Linked DNA regions of Saccharomyces cerevisiae S288C. The gene in region 1 interacts genetically with each later gene. Each region holds a gene or a part of one and is shown in the gene's direction. Other genes may lie near its edges. The genes, in order: TLD1, HFL1, PUT3 and AFR1.

Region 1 (3,726 bases):
CACATTGGCAACATTAGCACCCCCGGATCGAATAGAGAAGTCGCCGAATCGACTAGGAACGTGGCTGTTGCAGAGGGCCATAATACAATTTTATCAAACGAAGATAGTATACTCAAGGGAAAAGAGAAGGGAAAAGAGGAGGAAAAGGAGAAGGGAGAAGAAAAGGGAGTTAACAGCTTAAAAGGCGCCGCTGTGAAAGTTGTTGCGAAGTCATTGAAGAATAATCGCATTCCCGTCACTGTGAAGAGAAATGAGCCTTCAAACAATTTATTTGACGTTTTAAACTGCGACGAAAGCGAGGAAGAAGAAGAGCAAGATGTCGAAACCAATACGTCGAATCAAGAAAGGAAGAACCAGGGCGGTAATACTGAAGTGCCGGAGGCTCAGCGTGACAGTGCAGATAGGTTACCTGCCAAGGACGACGGTGGATACAAATCTGCCTTTGGCACTGATAGTTGTGGTCTATTTGCAGCTGACGCTAAAGATGAAAAAAAGCAGGTTCATCCATCTAGACAAGAATTAAGTTTTACGTAGTGTATAGCGGTAATGTTTATTAACTCTTTCGGCAAAGTGCGTTTGGGCTCGCAATGAACAGACACCACCATTGCTTCTTCTGCGCTTATTTGCCTTTGTTGTATATCTAGTTCTCAAAATGGAGTCATTCATCAGTCGATGTGTGGGCGGAAATGACGTTCATCTAGCAATGGCACACTAGTTTTTACTCAACAATTCAAACTCAATGGAAAGCCAGGAAGTTAGCGCCGGGAAACTTCAGGACAATATAAAAACAGGACTAACGGAAGAAAATAATGTGGGCCTTTTTGAGCAACGCTGACGGTAAGTAGTTTCCTACGATCGTACAATCCCGGAAAATTGTAGTGGTGCAAGAAGGGAAAAGAATGATGGCGAAAAATGCACGCGCGTAAATAATGATTTGTCGAGTCCTATTGACCACAAAACCCGCGGAAACCTAGTTAGCCCAAAAGGAAATGGATAGCATATGAAAAACGAAACGAAACGTCCTTTTGCACGGCAGAAAGAGCTTAGTAGGACCCGGGACAAATGCAAGTTAGATTCCTTGATTCCCGAATGCTCGGTCTTGCGTTTCGCCGTGGCTGCATGGAAGGTCATCGTACGGGTACGGGCAGTCTGGCTGAGTGGTGCCGCCAAAGTGCAATAGCTGTCAGTAGGGCGTGAGGAATGTAAAAGGCAAGAAAACATGTACGAGGGAAGAGAAGGGGGCAAAAGAAAGATAATAGGAACGGTGTAGATGAACTAGAAAAGGTTCAAGAGATGATAAACGTGAAGGGAGTGTCATATCTACCGACATAAAGATAGAGATCTTTTTTTTTCCTTTATTTTTTTTTTTGATTTTTTTTTTTGATTTTCTTGATATTAGTTTTTAGAAGTCCTTTGACGGGGCAGCCGGAGAATATATACCAACGGCATTCTATTGTCTTTTTTTCTTCCTTCCTTGCCAGGCATCTGCATCCATTATTGCCTTTAGTTACAATGTTTTTTTTCCCGAAGCTTAGAAAACTTATAGGTTCAACTGTGATCGATCACGATACCAAGAACTCATCAGGAAAGGAAGAGATCATGTCAAATAGCCGATTAGCACTTGTTATTATCAACCACGCCTTTGATAAGGTACTATCTTTGACGTGGCACTGCGGGATATTATCCGAAATAAGATCAGGACTGATGTTAATGTTTGGCATTTTCCAGTTGATGTGCTCTTTGGGTGTCATCGTATTGCTGTTGCCTATTATCATACTGGACGCGATCGATCTATTCCTCTACATGTGCAGGTTGCTTGATTACGGTTGCAAGTTATTCCACTACAATAGATCATCATTACCGGTGGCAGATGGAAAAGAAAAGACCAGTGGTCCCATAAGCGGAAAGGAGGAAATAGTTATTGATGAGGAGATAATTAATATGCTAAATGAATCCTCAGAATCATTGATCAATCATACTACAGCTGGTCTGGAATATGATATTAGTTCAGGTAGTGTTAACAAAAGTAGGCGTTTGAATTCAACTAGTACAGTTACATTTGTGAAGCAGAATAAACTTGTTAATGAAAGGAGGGAAGACGCCTACTACGAGGAAGAGGATGATGATTTCCTATCAAATCCGAATTATGATAAGATATCATTGATCGAAAAATCATTCACGAGTCGTTTTGAAGTGGCTTGTGAGCAGAAAGCTGCTTAAATTGATAATCAAGGTCAAGGCAACGCAACGCCACTGCTAAGAACACTTATTGCTACAGAAAGGAAACTAAAAATAATTATAAGGCTAGAGAGAAATAAAAACAAAATAAGAGAGATAATATGGGTAAGGGTCTGCCACCCATCTGATAAAAGGCTGTTCTATCTTTTGGAACTCTACAACACAGGTAAACGGATGATACTGGCTATATTTATATAGATAAACAAACTTGCAGGACAGATAGTTAAGCGTCTATATCATGTGTATTTTAAGCGAAGAAAAAAGTACAAAAATGATAAAAGGCAAAAAAGATGAGAAGTTTTTTTTGTGATAAAATTAATTATTAAAAAATACACACGTAGTTAAAATTAACAGCGGGGGAGGAAACCTTAAGAGAAAGAGAAACAAAAAAAAAGAAAGGAAACAAATAAAAATGAGGGTGACCCGAACATGTTGATACCGTTTCCTAATACTGCTTCCTTATTTCATTTGATAGTTACTTTCGTTTATTGAATGAGCTTAATCTTGTAGGACAATGTACAAGGCATATAGCATACCTGGGAACCAAGCCAAAATGGTCAAAATGATATCCACTATACAGTCAGTACCCCACCCACGGGCTAGAAAAACGGCGACTGGTGGTAAGAAAAGGGATAATATAATGTTAATGATCTTGGCAGAATCCATTGTTGTATTGTGCTGTGCTGTTTAGTTCAAAATGTATAATCAATTGTATTATACTGGCGAAAAACAACAACCGATAGTAAATTTTCTTCTTTTTTTCCTTTCCCTCTTCCAAAACAAAAACACTCACTTCCTCTTTTGTATTTATAGAGGCGCCCATCGCAAAATAACCAGGACCCCCTTTTGAGGGCGTGGTTAAAGGGCACCCAGAGCCCACACCCATTGCATCTTCCGCTATTAGGGGACTGCGGAAGTGAGGGGAGCAGTAAATAGTGATCTTTGTAATTTTCTGCAAAATCCCTCTCGCTGTCTCGGGTTTTTCGATTCAGAGGACCTTCCCCCCCCCATGTTCCGAGATCGGTTTTGGTGGTTAGAAGGCCGGAGGAAAGACATTTACCGCTTGCGCGCGGCTTCTTCTGTATGCTGTGCTCAACTACCAAGAGAAGGATTACGCGCACGGATACGTTGGATGTCTGCGATTGGTGATGCTAAGAACTAAAGGTATTTCGTCATCGTATGGTTTGATCTTCGCTACCCTTGACTCTTTACTGCGATAACGGTACCACGTTCCCATAAAATTCTTATTACTAAATCTCTATAAAGCTGCAACAGCTAGTTTGTATATATAAATCATTGGCGCTTCTTCCTCAATTCCTTGGGAATTTGGAGCTCCTCTATTAAAACTGATGTCCATGGGATAGTATTGATACAATCGAAGAGTCTCCAAAAAAACCATCGGGAAGGTTTCTTTTTAGTATCTTCAGGATACTGAATCCGGCTGCCAATCCAATCCTAATCTTTGGTAAACTTGTGCCTGACATTGCG
Region 2 (4,686 bases), on another chromosome or scaffold:
TCCAGAGAAGACCCACGACAATCCGCTTCAGATGTGCCGATGGACTCTCCTGACACGTCCGCATTGTCCTCAATCTCACCGTTGAATGTTTCCTCCTCTAAGGAGGAATCCAGTGACACGCAAAGCTCGCCTCCAAACTTCTCAAGTAAGCGCCAACCCTCAGACGTTGACCCAAGAGACATTTACAAATCGATAATGATGCTACAAAAACAACAAGAGAAGAGCAACGCAAACTCCACGGATTCTTTTTCGAGCGAGACCAATGGACCCGCTTTCATTGTGCAGGAACGTCATGAGAGAAGAGCCCCCCACTGCTCACTGAAACGCCATTCTGTCCTGCCATCTTCTCAGGAATTGAACAAGCTAGCCCAGACGAAAAGTTTCCAGAAATTGCTTGGCTTGCGGAGAGATGAAGGTGACCATGACTACTTTGACGGTGCTCCTCACAAATATATGGTCACCAAGAAGAAAAAAATATCTAGAACGCAATCATGTAACATCCCAACGTATACTGCTTCACCGAGTCCTAAAACCTCAGGCCAAGTAGTTGAAAATCATAGAAACTTGGCCAAGTCGGCGCCTTCATCTTTTGTTGATGAGGAGATGAGCTTTTCACCGCAAGAGTCTTTGAATTTACAGTTCCAAGCGCACCCGCCCAAACCAAAACGACGTGAAGGTGATATAGGCCACCCCTTCACCAGAACAATGAGCACCAACTATCTATCGTGGCAGCCAACCTTTGGCAGAAACTCCGTCTTCATTGGACTCACAAAGCAACAAAAGGAGGAACTCGGCGGTGTCGAATATCGTGCTTTGAGATTGCTGTGCTGCATTCTCATGGTATACTACATCGGATTCAACATTTTGGCGTTTGTGACCATCGTTCCATGGGCCTGTACGAGGCACCACTACTCAGAGATTATTAGACGAAATGGAGTTTCTCCAACCTGGTGGGGGTTTTTCACTGCAATGAGTGCATTCAGCAACTTGGGTCTGTCTTTGACCGCTGATTCAATGGTTTCCTTTGATACTGCGCCGTATCCGCTGATTTTCATGATGTTCTTCATCATCATAGGCAATACAGGCTTCCCAATTATGTTACGATTTATCATTTGGATCATGTTCAAGACCTCGAGAGACCTATCTCAGTTTAAGGAAAGTCTTGGGTTTCTCTTGGATCATCCGCGCAGGTGTTTTACGTTGCTGTTCCCCAGCGGCCCCACATGGTGGCTGTTTACAACTTTAGTCGTCTTAAACGCTACGGATTGGATTCTTTTCATAATTCTGGATTTCAACTCCGCTGTAGTAAGGCAGGTTGCTAAAGGTTATCGAGCTCTCATGGGCCTCTTCCAGTCTGTATGCACAAGAACTGCTGGATTCAACGTTGTTGACTTAAGTAAATTACACCCGTCCATTCAGGTGTCTTATATGCTAATGATGTACGTTTCGGTCCTGCCGCTGGCGATTTCCATTAGAAGAACGAATGTTTATGAGGAGCAATCGTTGGGACTATACGATAGTGGACAAGATGACGAAAATATCACCCACGAAGACGATATAAAGGAAACAGACCATGATGGCGAATCCGAAGAGCGAGACACTGTATCTACAAAGTCCAAGCCGAAGAAACAGTCCCCAAAATCGTTTGTTGGTGCTCATTTGAGGAGGCAACTCTCTTTTGATTTATGGTACCTATTCCTTGGATTATTTATAATATGCATATGCGAGGGCAGAAAAATCGAAGACGTTAATAAACCTGATTTCAATGTCTTTGCTATATTGTTTGAAGTTGTTAGCGCTTATGGTACAGTGGGTTTGTCATTGGGTTACCCAAACACCAACACATCACTATCTGCCCAGTTCACCGTATTATCGAAGCTAGTCATAATTGCCATGCTAATAAGAGGAAGAAATAGAGGTTTACCATACACTTTGGATCGTGCCATCATGCTGCCAAGTGACAAACTGGAACAAATTGATCGTTTACAAGATATGAAAGCTAAGGGTAAGTTGTTAGCCAAAGTTGGTGAGGATCCAATGACTACTTACGTCAAAAAGAGATCCCACAAACTGAAAAAAATAGCAACAAAGTTTTGGGGGAAGCATTAAAATCAAGTTTACCCCTCTTTACCTACATAAGAGCCAACGTAATTTTCTCTCAGTATTATATGTATTATCTCCGAAGTTTATTATTCTTTAACGAAATATAAAAGAAAAATAAGAAAGATTAAGACCCTAAAAGGTGTACCACTACGATTCAACAAGCACAACGAATCCTATCCGTAATATACTTTTGATTTCTGACTATTCTAGAAAAATTTTAGTTCATTTTTTTTCCCTCTTTTTACTTATTGTATTTTTCACAATTGAATTGCATTTTGTCCCCTACGAAAAAAGGCAGAAAACGAGATCTAAACCACTTTCAGATCAGAATAATAATAATAATAATAACCAACCAAAGCCATCAACAGGTCCACTAGAAGCATCTGCCAAGTTACGACCTAAGCAAAGGTTTGAGTGAAAAGTGAATTGCGACAGTACAATCACAAAAGTATAGAAACATAATTGTTATGGAAAACAAACTACTTTGTTGGTGGTTGTACTGGCCATGCGTGTATTCATCTATTATAGCTACCATAATATCTTTTTACACCATAACTAGACACTTATTAAATTACCGTAAACCATATGAACAAAGACTATCCATACGGATACTATTGCTCGTGCCCATTTTTAGTGTGTCATGCGCAAGTGGCATAATTAAGCCTGAAGCAGCTCAATTTTATGTCGATCCTATCAGAGAATTTTATGAAGCATTCGTTATTTACACTTTTTTCACATTTTTAACACTACTACTAGGAGGCGAGAGGAACATCATTACTGTTTTAAGCTTAAATCACGCCCCCACAAGACATCCGATACCGCTAATAGGTAAAATTTGCAAACCGATAGACTTATCTGATCCTTTTGATTTTCTTTTTGTCAAAAAAGGCATATTACAGTATGTTTGGTTCAAACCATTTTATTGTTTTGGTACATTGATATGCAGTGCATGGAAGCTACCCAAATTCGAAATATTTTTGAACGTTTTTTATAATATTTCAGTGACTTGGTCACTGTATAGTTTAGCACTATTTTGGAAGTGTCTCTATCCGGAATTAACTCCTTATAAACCATGGTTGAAATTTTTATGTGTCAAATTGATTATTTTTGCCTCTTATTGGCAGAGCATCATAATCCAGGGTCTAGTGGTTACTGGAAAGTTGGGTACGGGAAACCAAGATCGAACCTCTGGATATGTGTACAAGAATGGGCTCCTGTGTATAGAGATGGTGCCTTTCGCCATCTTGCATGCAGTAGCTTTCCCTTGGAACAAATACACAGCATTTAGCATACCTTATGGGGCCAGGATGAAATTCATTTACGCTTTGAAAGATTTTCTTGGTTGCGGTGATCTAATATGGGATTTTAAACAGACTTTGTTTGCTGGTCCCTTGTACTATAATTATAGGAACTTCGATCCTGAAGCCATGGATCTATTAAGCACTAGACAACAATCCGGTGCGACTATGGAAAGACTAAAGCATGGGCTAAGATTTACTGATAATGGAAGAAATAGTTATTGGGTGGCATATGGGAGTATAGATAACAACCTTGTTCCGGAATCAATAGAGGAATCATGGGAAGATGATATTGCTGGTCAGAGAACTTTTCCTGAGGATCCAAATTATCCGGTTGTTCACGACTACACGATGGGCCATCGATATAGTAGATCAATGAATGATTTAAGAAGAGATGTTCAAAGTAGGTCATCAATGGCTTGTTAAATGAGTCGTTAAATGTACGTATATACATAGTTACTGCGCTTTCGGTTATATACAAAATAAAACAACATCTACAAGCAATGCTTTTTTTTCAATTATTGTAACTTGGATGCTTATTCTAATAAAATGAAATAAATGCTACTGTAATTTTTTGCCGGAGGATTGGCTATATATGCAGAGTGGGAGTTGGACGATATCACCATTATTATTATTTTTCTATTATTACCATTGGACTTGTCTTTTGCAGCAACAAAAGTGGCAGCAGCAGCAACAGCACCACCACCAATGCATTTTGGCCTTGCCTTTTATAAGTTGTCAAAAAAAGTTGACCTCGAAAAGGGGAAAAAACATCAATTTTTCATTAAAAAATGCTTAGCACATTCATATGCAGTCCAAGAAATGGCAGTGGCTGGTATATTAGCCACTATCCTTGGTTTCAAACCTCGCCAAAACCCCTTCCAACCATGAACCTCCAGTATGGCTCTTGAGGCTCTACCAAAAGTGTTCGCATCCTTCATTATTTCGATGGAGACAGTTTCGCTGCCTCTAACCTGTAATACAGTCTTTATGCAATCCAACGGTGTAGTTAACGCAGCACATGTTGCACCACTTATCCCACCGCAAAGACAATGAATCAATGGATTGTAGGAATTTTGTGGGTTGAAGAATTTGCTGGCAGATTCATATATCATGAAATTGAACGCTGCAAATGGGATATTCATGGCCAATGTTGTGGGATAGGAGTAGTAAAATGCTGCAAAGCCTTCATTTTGATATATTTGCTTAGTAACATTCCAAACTCTTAGATTAGTATCCAATTGTAGTCTTTGTTTAACGGTGTCAAAGGGGTTCATCAATGCAT
Region 3 (6,320 bases), on another chromosome or scaffold:
AAGTATATCAAGAGAGTGTCTTTTATTAGAGTCTAATAGCCTAGCAGGATGACCGATTCTTAATAATAAATTATTCGGCACAAGAGGCGTTAGCCTCTCCAGAATCGTATCCACAGAAATATTGGAAGGCCCACAAATTAAGATTCTCTCCTCAGGATTTTTAATTAGCAATTGCTGGATCAATTCAATTAATGTGAATGTTTTACCCGTACCAGGAGGACCATGTATAATGGTCAAGTCATTGTTAATGGCAAAATTAATGGCAGTTTTCTGGGAGTCATTCAGATTCGGGTTTAAAAAAGATTTAATGTTTTGAAAGCTGTTTGTATTGGGGATGAAGGGGCGTTCGTTTACCAAGTATTGTATAATTTTGTCTTGTATGGGTGAACTAATTTCAGACAGTTTTCTCATTGTGGATTCCATTCTATTATACGTGACGACATTGGTAGTCTTTAAAATGTAAAGTTTGCTATAAGAATAAAATGTGGTAGCAATAACATCTTGAGATTCTTCTAGAGCTATGGTGATTTGAGTATCACTCATTTTGTAGACAACGCCTGAGCATTCCGCTTGCTCGCCATTGGAGTCTTCAGACACCTTTTTGACTTTGGGCTTAGTCTTGGTATTTACTTTGGTTTTTGCAGGGCGTACCAAAACAATATCACCAACCTTAATATCACCCCTTTGAATTTTGTCGTTAACCGCCAAGTTAGGTCCCAGTTCCATATATAATTTGCCAATGAGACCGGATCTTATGTTTTCTAGATGTATGTTGTTTATTGCCAAGCCATTTTGCACCAATTGTTGGATAGATAGCGTTGTTAATAGCCTAGAAGTTGTTTGAATGTCTTGTTCACGTTCATGCTTGATGCTTGATAAAAACTTAGAAGCCAATTCTTTGTTCATTTCCCTCTACTCTTTTTTCTATATTTCTCAAGAGACAACTTTACATCAGCCTTCATATTTTTGAAATATATGTAACGTACAAGATTTTCTTAGCGTAAGGATATGCAGGCGCACATTTGTGTATATATGACAGTAAGAATGTTTAATTATAATATTTGCCAGTTATATAAACCTGTGAAAAAAATAATAGAATATGGTGCGTAATATATAGAGGTAAAGGGTACTACATCACATTCAAATTGCCGAATCTGTCCTTGTAACCAGGTACGTCCCATTTACCCTTCTTGACCATCTCTTCTACCTTAGCATCAATTTCAGGTTTGATCTTTGTCAGGTCGTCAACAGTTAATTCATCGAAAGGTCTTGCAGATTGAATATTATCTAAGGTGCTTTGCAAATCCTTTAACTCCTTGGAAACTAAGGATTCTGTCTCCTTGGCGTTGGTCATTGCGTGCTTTTCAAAAGACTCAATCACTTGTAATTGTTTGGAGGCATCGATTTTGACCGGCTTATATTGCTTAACGTATGATTCTATCTTGTCAATGACTGAAGTGTTTTTCAACACAGATCTATAATGACTGAAATCTACTTCGGTGGGTTGACTTTGCAGCTCTAGTAATTGTCTACGTGCCTCATCGTTTCTCTTTTTAAAACTCGATAATTGAGTGGCAGTCGACCCTGTTATACGTAGAGAAGAGATGACTTTTGCCCAGTCAAGTTTGTTAGCAGCGGATTTGGCCAAAGACATAGTCGAACAAAAATATAATTAGGTGATTCTGCAATTAAGTGCACGAAAAATTTCTTTTAAATCCTAAGATTGTTCTTTTGCGTTACGTGTCAATATGAATATATAAACTTATATAGAAAAGTATTGTACTAGTAGAAATATGTTTTACACCTACGCTAAGCAGCAAGTGGTAATTGGTGTATCTTTTACTTTTTTGGGGGCATCAAGACAAATATCCAATCAAATCGAAGAGAAAATAATTCTTGTAACCCGCTCATTAGTCACGTGGTCATCACGTGAGCATAATATATCACGTGATATACACCCATACCTCGTTTATGGGATTGAGTCATCGGATATGTCATTATAAACGATATTTCTCCGCGGCAATGAGGTGGCGAATATTGGAGTAAAAATGAAAACATCCACCAGGTGCTTGATGATATACTTGACTTCGGCGGCAATTTAAAGCTTTCTAAGCAGCAATTAGTAAGTAACCATTACAATAACGATAAATACGACACTGGTCCAACTAACTCATTGATAGGATAATTGCAGTGATCTTAACGAGTTTAATGGTGACCGACCAAGGCAGTAGGCATTCGATACAATCTAAGCAACCAGCCTACGTTAATAAACAACCGCAAAAAAGGCAGCAGAGATCTTCTGTCGCATGCCTTTCTTGTAGGAAACGTCATATAAAATGTCCTGGTGGTAACCCTTGCCAAAAATGTGTTACGAGCAATGCCATATGTGAGTACTTGGAGCCGTCAAAAAAAATTGTTGTGTCGACAAAGTATCTGCAACAACTGCAAAAAGACTTGAATGATAAAACTGAAGAGAATAACCGCCTGAAAGCTTTGCTCTTGGAGAGACCAGTGAGTGTACGTGGTAAGGATAACAGCGATGATGACGAGAGGCATATAAACAATGCACCCTCAAGTGACACATTGGAAGTATCCAGCGCTCCGGCGGCTCCTATATTTGACCTCATGTCCAATAGTAACACTGCGTCCGATAACGATAACGACGATGACAACAGCAACAGAATCACAAATAATAGGAGCTATGATCATAGTTTGGAAAAATACTACAAAAAGGCCATCAGCATCTTTAAACAACCAGCTAATGCTAATGGCGAAAATGGCAACGGTGCCAATGGTCATGAGGATGATGATGAAGATGATGAAGAAATATCAACAAATTTTGCTCAAAGAAGTGGTAGGCTCATAGAATCTCACAATGGATTCCATTATTTTGTTGGATCTTCTTCAATGACATTATTTGGGTTAGAAATTCAATCTTTGGTTACAAAGTATATTTCGGTCAAGAATTTTCGACCTTTGCCAATAAACACCAAAAACAAGATTTTAAATTCAAACCTGAACCCGGCTATAAGTTCTTTTATCAATTCAAACAACTATCTTTTCTCGTCCTATAATTTTTTGAACCCTATATCGACTATTGTCAACTTAAACTCAATCAACGATAATTTATCTCCATTGATGTTTAAGATAATTTTGAAAAGCGATACGGATGGTAGTAGTGGCCAGGAAGAGGTAATACAGTTTCAGTTGCCTTCGTATAATTACACAAAACTATTAATTGACTGCTTTATAAATTATAACGATGGTTGTTTTTACTTTTTCAACGAAGGCCTGGTTAAATGTGGCATTAACAAATTGTACTTGGAAAATAAATGGCTATACTATGATAATACCAAAAAAGCTTTGGACAATGAGAATGATCCAATTTTACAAGCTGTTTGGTTTTGCAAAATTTTGTTAATTTTAGCAGTAGGTGAAATGTATCTGGGTTCCATCAATAATGAAATGTTGAAGAATTATTCTAATCAGCCAAAATTGCCCGGTTCAAAATTTTTTCAAATGGGTTCTAAAATTTTTAATTGTTTGTTCTCAAGTGAAAGATTAGAAAATGTGACTAAGAAAGGCGGTATTGAAGTCCTGTTGTTATACGCGTTCTTCTTACAGGTGGCTGATTACACTTTAGCCTCTTATTTTTACTTCGGTCAAGCCCTAAGGACGTGCTTAATTCTAGGCTTACATGTTGATTCTCAAAGCGACACTCTATCCAGGTATGAAATCGAGCATCATAGGAGACTTTGGTGGACAGTTTACATGTTTGAACGAATGCTTAGCTCAAAAGCTGGGTTACCATTAAGTTTCACTGATTATACAATCTCTACAGCACTGCCAGCGGATATTGATGATGAAACTATCGAAGAGAAAAATAGTCACTATGTTTTCAGAAAGGCAGAATTGATTTCTAACTGCGTTACTATTGTGAAAATCAATGCACAAATTTTGAGCAAATTATATCAAAGGCAACCTGAGACAAACATCATAATTACTTTGAAAGTTGTCATCAAGCAGTTGTTGGAATGGAGGAACAATTTGTCCGATTCCTTACAGGTGGATTTTACGCAAAAGGATGAAGATTTCAAAATATCGAGATTGTCAACCAATATGTTTACGGAATATTTTCAAGGAATAAACTTGGCCGTGAGACCTTTATTATTTCATTTTGCATCCATTCAATTGAAAAGGTTCAAAACGAGCAATACTTTCGTCAACTTACAAAACTATTCTGCCACAATATCTTCCTTATTAACATGTTCTTTGCATGCTTCTGTGAATACTATTAGGTCTCTGTGGAGTTTATTACAGAATAGTATGCTTGCTATGTTTAGTTATATGGACAGAGAGTATCTTTTTACTTCTTCTTGTACTTTATTACTATTCAACACTGCTTTTGGTATTCATGAACAAACACTATATCATTTGGATCATTCTCTGGAAATTTTCACACAAATGAGAAACTTAGGCAACATTCCAGCAGGCTTAAGAAGAGCACAATTATTAACATTAATGGCAAATTTGGATTTCCACGGCATAATGAATGACTTGATTACTAAATATAACGATATTTTGAAATTTGATTCTATGAATTGTGAAAACGATAACATAGTAGAAGATAGCAATGAACCCAAAAGAGAAACCGAAAAGTGTAAACCTCACAAAGATGGCGATCGCATTGACCCTTCAATTATAGACTGTGATAAATCAAACACCAATACAAATATGATCAAGAACGAATCTATATCGAACATTGTTAGCATACTTCCGGAAGGCGCGAAACCAACGCTGACTGATTATAGTAATGGTAATAATGATGTTAATGATATTAACGTCAATAACTCGGAACCTTCTACTTTTTTTGATATCATAACTGCGAGCTTGGAAAATTCATACCAAACCACGCTAACTGAAAAGGGCTCTCAGGTGATGGAAAAAAACATGGATCAGTTGGATTCCGTTCATAATCTAAATGATGACGATTTACAACAATTGTTGGAGGATTTAGGCAATATTGATCATTCCGATGAAAAACTTTGGAAGGAAATCACTGATCAAGCAATGTGGCTGGGAAATACTATGGATCCAACTGCAGCTGCTGGTAGTGAAATTGACTTTACTGATTATTTAGGACCATAACACCATTACAAAGACAAAGAAGAAAATACTGATTTCTTTGTTTTCTTATGCATATATTATACATTTCGCACATTATATAGAAAAGTGGACATTTAATTCTTCAAATCTTATTTAAAATATCTATCACAAGACAGCTCATTTACGTAGCCTCTTGACAACATTGTCGCTATCACCTTCTGTCCATAATATTAGCCTTTTTTGTGATTTGACAAGCTCGTTGTAGCCTAATAGTAGTTTTTCAATTCCGTTTTGTTCTTGGGCTAACCTCAAAGTAGTATTTAATGTACCTCTGTTTTCGTTCCGTAAAGTACCAATGTTGTTCAGTATATCGTCCTGTGGTAGTCTAGATTTGATGTTATTGTTCAAAACCTCGAAAAACGACACAATACCGTTTCTGCTAATTAAATTCAAACCACCATCATCTGCTACCCTTTGGACTTTGTAAAAAATAAAATAGATTAGTTCGCGTAATCTTTCTTTCAAGTATGGCATATTGATCAAGTTTAACAACCATTCAAATACACCTTTCTTCTCTAACATCTTGTAATCTTCATCCGTTTTAATTCCCTTACAAATGGTTGTTAAAACCCAACTCAATTCTCCATAGTATATTTCCATATCAATTTCTTTCTTATTGTCATCTTGTTGTCTCTTATTGTAGGACATCATCACATCAGATACCATAGGGATGTCCCAACTACGTATGGTAGAATTTGATAATACCCAGCGGTATGCCTTCTCATGTAAGGGCGCAGTTGGACTTCCCAATAGATCAACAATTCTAGAGATAGAAAACCAAATTAACGGATTGATAGGATCTTGATTTTGTTGTCTCTGGTATAAAATCCTTTTAATCAACACTTGGTAAATGCTATTATATTTGATTAAATCGCTATCAGATTCTTTTCTTTCATTATCCTTGCTAGTTATTTGCTTTTCAAGATTCATCTGGGCAGTTTTCTTCTCCAAAGAAGAAGCTAAATTTGATAAATGTTCGTAACTTATATTGGCAACGGTATGACAATCGCTTAATGAGCAAATAATAAACTGAAATATTTTGCAATCAAGGAAATTTTCAAATTCATATCTGTATGTTACATTGCCCTCGTCATCTTTGACCATTTTTACCAGCTCTTTGTTATGGATTATTAATAGCAGTAAAAATAATGGAT
Region 4 (5,257 bases), 400 kb from region 1:
CAAACGATAAAGCATTTATAAAGTTTAGCAGAGGGTTTTGGAAGGTCATGTGCTTTGAATGGTTTAACATTGACAGATATAGGTTGGATAAGTATCTTCTATTGATAAGAAGGGTATTATTCAGTCAATTGAAGTATTTGCAGTCCAGAAACTGGGACAAAAAATTAGTCGACGAGTATATTAAGAAAGTGTTGAGGTGGTTACCTCTGAGTGGAAGTCCAAAGGTCTACACAGGGATTCCAATTCATATCGTCGATATTCTGCTGGACGAATGGGAAAGATTGCTTAAAGATGGAGATGAAGACGATGAAGACGAGGAAAACAAAGAGGAAGAGATGCGCAAAATTGCAGAGAGCGCAAAAAAAACGCCACTAGCCGATGTTATCGCAATTTTCCAAGATATCGTGGCAGATTACAATAACAGTAAGGTGTTGAGAGAGAAGATCAAAGAAGACCTATTCAGTGACACCAGACTTGTTTCCTGGGATATTCTTGAAGGCGAAACGCAACATAATGATTCCAGTAACGAATCTGAAGAAGAGGAAGAGGAAGAGTGGAAGGGATTTTGATTCTTCCTGGCGGTAGTATGTAAGTAATCGTAAGTCGCTCATATAAATTGTAGTTGTATATCTATAGTACGAAAAATTCATTACCCTCTGTGGATATTGGCGGAATGCGAAACACGTCGCCTTTTTTTCCTCGCAACATTTTTTTTATTTTTTTTTCGTTTTGAAATGAAAGAATACTAGTGATTAAATTAAACAAGGAAAATAGTACAGATTGGCGTGTATTGTCCATAACTCGTGTCCATTGTCCGCACTACGCTAGTTTACCAAAGATAAAATCACGTATAACATTGAAAAATAAAATGGCTAGAGCTAGTGAAAAAGGTGAAGAGAAAAAGCAGAGCAACAACCAGGTTGAAAAGCTGGTTGAAGCACCTGTAGAATTTGTCAGAGAAGGTACTCAATTCTTGGCCAAGTGTAAGAAACCTGATTTGAAGGAATACACCAAGATTGTCAAGGCTGTTGGTATTGGTTTTATTGCAGTCGGTATCATTGGTTACGCCATCAAGTTGATTCATATTCCAATCAGATACGTTATTGTTTAAAAGAGATAAAAGACGAGAAAAAATAAAAACAACGGCACCAGAACCAAAAATCAAAATTAAGTAGTATTCTTTATGTGCATTTTTCCCTTTAAATTATAACCTTTCTATCGGTATAGTGTGTATATGTTCAGCCCTATATAAGAATTTACTCTAAAGAGGTGGAAGGCAAGAGTCTTGATTCTTCCCATATAATATTACTGCATTTTCTGTATTAAACATGTTTTCTATTTGCCGAATAAGCATAAACGTATCATTGTTCCTTTCCCTTTATTTAAGCTCCATACCGATCATGGAAAAGCTCTCCAACGACCTTGAAACGAAAAACCGTTCCTTGGCGATATGACGTTTAGCTCCTTGTCAAATTCTTCCGTGCTACCACGTTGCTACCACTGATATGAAACAAGTACGATCCCTGAACGGAACAGCGCCTAAAAATAGATGGGCACTCACTTTTCCTTTTTCGCTGCCTCTTTTTCCCATGCATTTCCTTTTTGAGTAGTACGTCTTATTTTTGATTATATGCTCGACATACCCCAGGTTTCACAAAGGTTTGGCTTCCTTTTAGCACTTTCTCTCTCACCCTTTCAACAAGTTTATTGGGCCCGACTTACCTTGACGACTTTAATGGGACGCCTGCTAAAAGCTTATTCTACATAAATATATATACCGGCTTCATATAATATAGGAACAAAAGAAAAAGAAAACTGGAAAAAGGGAAGGGGCTATCTCATTATCCAGATAGGCCATATTAGGTGTTACCACAAACTGCTGATAATAATGGAGGGCTCATATCTATCTGCACAAGAAAACCAACCCATACCGGAGCGATTGATACCTAGGTCGAACTCAACTTCGAATTTGTTTGCTTTGTCTAGTACATTCTCTAAACTCAATGTTAGGAATGATGCTGATTACAATTATTCGAACCCGAATAAGAAGAGACACATTTATAGTGGCGAGATAGACTGTAGGTCTGTGACAGCAGCTAGAAAATTTCCAGTAAGGTCCTGTTCAATGACAGCCGCCCAGCAAAGAAAGAGAACTGCGCTATTCACAGTTAGGGAAAGAAACTCTTACCATGAGGGGTTCAATAATGATCAAGATTATGTGAGCCAATACCAGAAGCCACAGTACACTTTCGGAGTATATAAAGAATTAACACCTTATCAACTGCAGCGCTCTAAAATGAAAAGAAGCTTTCAATTTCCCAATGGCGAAATATACAAGCCAAAACTTGATGGAAAATGCACCCACAGCTTGAAAAAGCCTGAATTAAATTCAAGAGACTCTTCTTTATTCAAATTCAGCGAGAAGAAAGGTCGCAATTTATCAAAAGATTTTGTGGGGCCTCATAATGGGACATCAGTCATACATATTCCTCCCAATGATACAGGCTACGGTGTAAATAGCTTGGAGCTGAACACTTCAGTTCCTTCAACAATAAAAAGTTCGGTTTCATCAACCTCTCCGATATCTGCTGTTAATACCCTGACCAGCTTGCCAGAAAGTCAAACTGATGATGATGACGGTTATGAAAATAAAACTGTAACTATATCTTATTGCTTCGAAAATACGGTAAATGAAAAACATGGTAGCCATATAGAAAAATTGGATTTATCAACTAAGGAAAAAACTAAGCCAACAACTAATTCAGGCCTATTTGATAGAAAGAAAAAGACTATTCTGGGCACTGAGAAATATAGATGTATAAAGTCACAATCGAAGTTGAAACTGGGTTCTGTTTTGAAGAAATTATGGCGTACTTCAGGAAACTCGAATACAAAGCATGGAAAAAAGGATACAAAAAGAAGGAGAATTCCTATCGATGATATGGTTACGCATTCTGATGGAAATTCTGAAGCTGAGAATGATATTGAATTAATGGATGCAAATCTGGACGGCATTGAATTTGACGACGACGAAACTCTAATGGATACAGATTCAATTTTTGATGATCTGTTGTCCAAGGAAAATGATAAATACGATTTGAGGCGAAGGCAATTAGAAATACGACAAAAGCTCCACGAGACCTCGCACAACGACGATGGCAAGGTTTCTTTTCGAGATACCGAAAAGCATAATGTCAATGAAGGTTTGATCGACAAGACCATAATCGAAGAATTTTCAAAGCTCGGTGAATATATAATCGACACGAGAAATCAACCACCACCAAGATCGTCCAAGAGGCCTTCATTAGATGACAATGAATCTGCACGATACTTCTACAACATATCGACAGATTTGCGACAGTCTCTGTCAGGTCCAATAAGCTTACCAATGCATGTTGGGAACGACATGGTAAATAGGTTGAGAAATGACTGGGAGTATATCAGATTCGAAGATAGAAGGAATTCGCTGCCAGATTCCTCATTTGATAAAGTCGAAACACCTCCAAAACCAATAAAAAAAGATGTCCGGTTTGCAAAAGAAGTATGTTTAGCAAGCACTTGGTCATCGAATGCATATGAGAGAGCTAATCCGGAATTCATTATGAATCGCCACAGATTGTTGTGGATGATGAAAGTACATCCAAGCATGAATAGTGCCATGAATGAGATCAAACTTGAACTTAACTCTTACAAAAAAAATGAGATGGTTGTCCATGAGAACAGCAAGTGCTTTACACATTATTTAATTTGAGTTATTAACGTAACATAATCCAGTTTATTTTTTGCAATAGAAGGCGTCATACATATTTATATATCAATGTATACATTCCATTCCAGTTACTTCTTTTGCATCTTGCTTCCTGTTTACCTTGACCTCGAACCTATTATTTGTCCGCAATGCGCCTTTGGGTGAAAAGGGATTTCGTTTCCATTTTAACTGTACATAATGTAAATGTAGAAAAGCGTGGTTCTTAAAGGATTTACGGTTCAATACGCTTTTATAAACCTGCTGGTGCTCTAATTACGAATGAAACATGGACCAGGCAAGAAATTTCTACAACACAATTTTAAAATCGTCGCACCCGTTGCTACTATCATTTCATCTGGCAGGTAAGGCAGTTCCCATTGTATTTTATATCATAGGATCAATGTTTTTGAATTTCACACCTCAATTCATCACTGTCGTTCTTTTACTTTCTTTTGACTTTTACTTAACAAAAAACATTACAGGTCGGAAACTGGTCCAATTACGCTGGTGGTATGATTCTACAGATGTGAACAAAGATTCTAATTTTACTTTCGAATCATATAAGCAATATGCGCCGGGCCCACCAATAAATGCCATCGATTCTAAGTTATTCTGGTGGTCGATGTATGTGACACCCGTAATCTGGGGTGTCTTCGCTGTGTTGTGTCTTTTAAGACTGAAAATATTCTACCTGATTTTGGTCATTGTTGCAATGTGTCTGACCGCCTGGAACACGTATGGATTTCGTTGTTGCGATAGATGGGAGCCCAATAGTGGACAATCTGACGGTCAAGATACTAATAATTGGTTCGCTCTTCCTTCTGTTCCGGGCTTTGAAAATCTTTCAAGGCTGGCTAATATCCAATCGTTTTTCCAGAGACAATAAAACCTTGTCCCTCATGTGAACATTGTGGAGTACTTCTTCTAGATGATTTTTACTTTACGCAATGTACTACAGGAAAAGAATACAATTATATGTATAAATATAGTATACAAAAGAAAAAACAATATTAAAATATGAAAATGACGGATGAAGTCGTTATCTTCTTTTATAAATACAGGGCTTCAAGAGCCATTTTCCTTCGGCAATTTTCCGTCTTTTCTTTTCTAATTCTTCCTTCTCAGTTTCAACTTCAATAAACTTTTGTCTTCTTTCCAATTTCTGCCTTCTCTCTTCAATAATCTCCGCAGGTGGCTTGAAAAATTCGAATCTTGTAAACATCTTATTCTCGTCGAAGGTCTTTTTGTGAAAAAATCCCATCAGCTTCAAAGCGTCTACAAATTCATTACCTTTGCCGTCACTAAACCTTGATTTAATTTCTGCGATCCATAATTCACCCCTTGGCGCTAAAATCCTATAAGCTTCTTTTATGAAATCGAGGAAATTTGTACCCATTAGAGCCAGGCAGAAGACCACTATAGTACAGGACTCATCTGGTAGCGGCACATTTCTAATATCTGCCACAGTTATTCTTTCGTTAGCTTTCTTCAAATCAAAACTGTGGACTT

The links.
Region 2: mutations in TLD1 (region 1) and HFL1 together harm fitness more than expected from each alone (negative genetic interaction), as found in Saccharomyces cerevisiae (one large-scale study listed by BioGRID).
Region 3: mutations in TLD1 (region 1) and PUT3 together harm fitness more than expected from each alone (negative genetic interaction), as found in Saccharomyces cerevisiae (one large-scale study listed by BioGRID).
Region 4: mutations in TLD1 (region 1) and AFR1 together harm fitness more than expected from each alone (negative genetic interaction), as found in Saccharomyces cerevisiae (one large-scale study listed by BioGRID).

The regions. Positions count from the first base shown.
Region 1 is NC_001136.10:1,010,740-1,014,465, forward strand, and holds TLD1 (triglyceride-associated lipolysis regulator TLD1), read left to right. Parts: upstream 1-1,512; coding exon 1,513-2,220; downstream 2,221-3,726. Other genes in the region: DON1 (Don1p), read left to right, coding at 1-534; YDR274C (uncharacterized protein), read right to left, coding at 850-1,221; PMP3 (Pmp3p), read right to left, coding at 2,737-2,904; MTH1 (Mth1p), read right to left, coding at 3,662-3,726.
Region 2 is NC_001143.9:528,376-533,061, forward strand, and holds HFL1 (Hfl1p), read left to right. Parts: upstream 1-2,570; coding exon 2,571-3,827; downstream 3,828-4,686. Other genes in the region: TRK2 (Trk2p), read left to right, coding at 1-2,109; MRS4 (Fe(2+) transporter), read right to left, coding at 4,175-4,686. UniProt on the Saccharomyces cerevisiae protein: Vacuole membrane protein that recruits ATG8 to facilitate the degradation of vacuolar integral membrane proteins during early-stationary vacuole turnover (EVT) when cells enter stationary phase.
Region 3 is NC_001143.9:406,336-412,655, forward strand, and holds PUT3 (Put3p), read left to right. Parts: upstream 1-2,208; coding exon 2,209-5,148; downstream 5,149-6,320. Other genes in the region: ATP-dependent 5'-3' DNA helicase HCS1, read right to left, coding at 1-906; ATP7 (F1F0 ATP synthase subunit d), read right to left, coding at 1,130-1,654; URB1 (Urb1p), read right to left, coding at 5,284-6,320.
Region 4 is NC_001136.10:612,782-618,038, reverse strand, and holds AFR1 (Afr1p), read left to right. Parts: upstream 1-1,888; coding exon 1,889-3,751; downstream 3,752-5,257. Other genes in the region: RRP1 (Rrp1p), read left to right, coding at 1-569; translocon subunit SSS1, read left to right, coding at 869-1,111; TVP23 (Tvp23p), read left to right, coding at 4,035-4,634; RRP8 (25S rRNA (adenine645-N1)-methyltransferase), read right to left, coding at 4,788-5,257. UniProt on the Saccharomyces cerevisiae protein: Acts in conjunction with the alpha-factor receptor to promote morphogenesis and adaptation.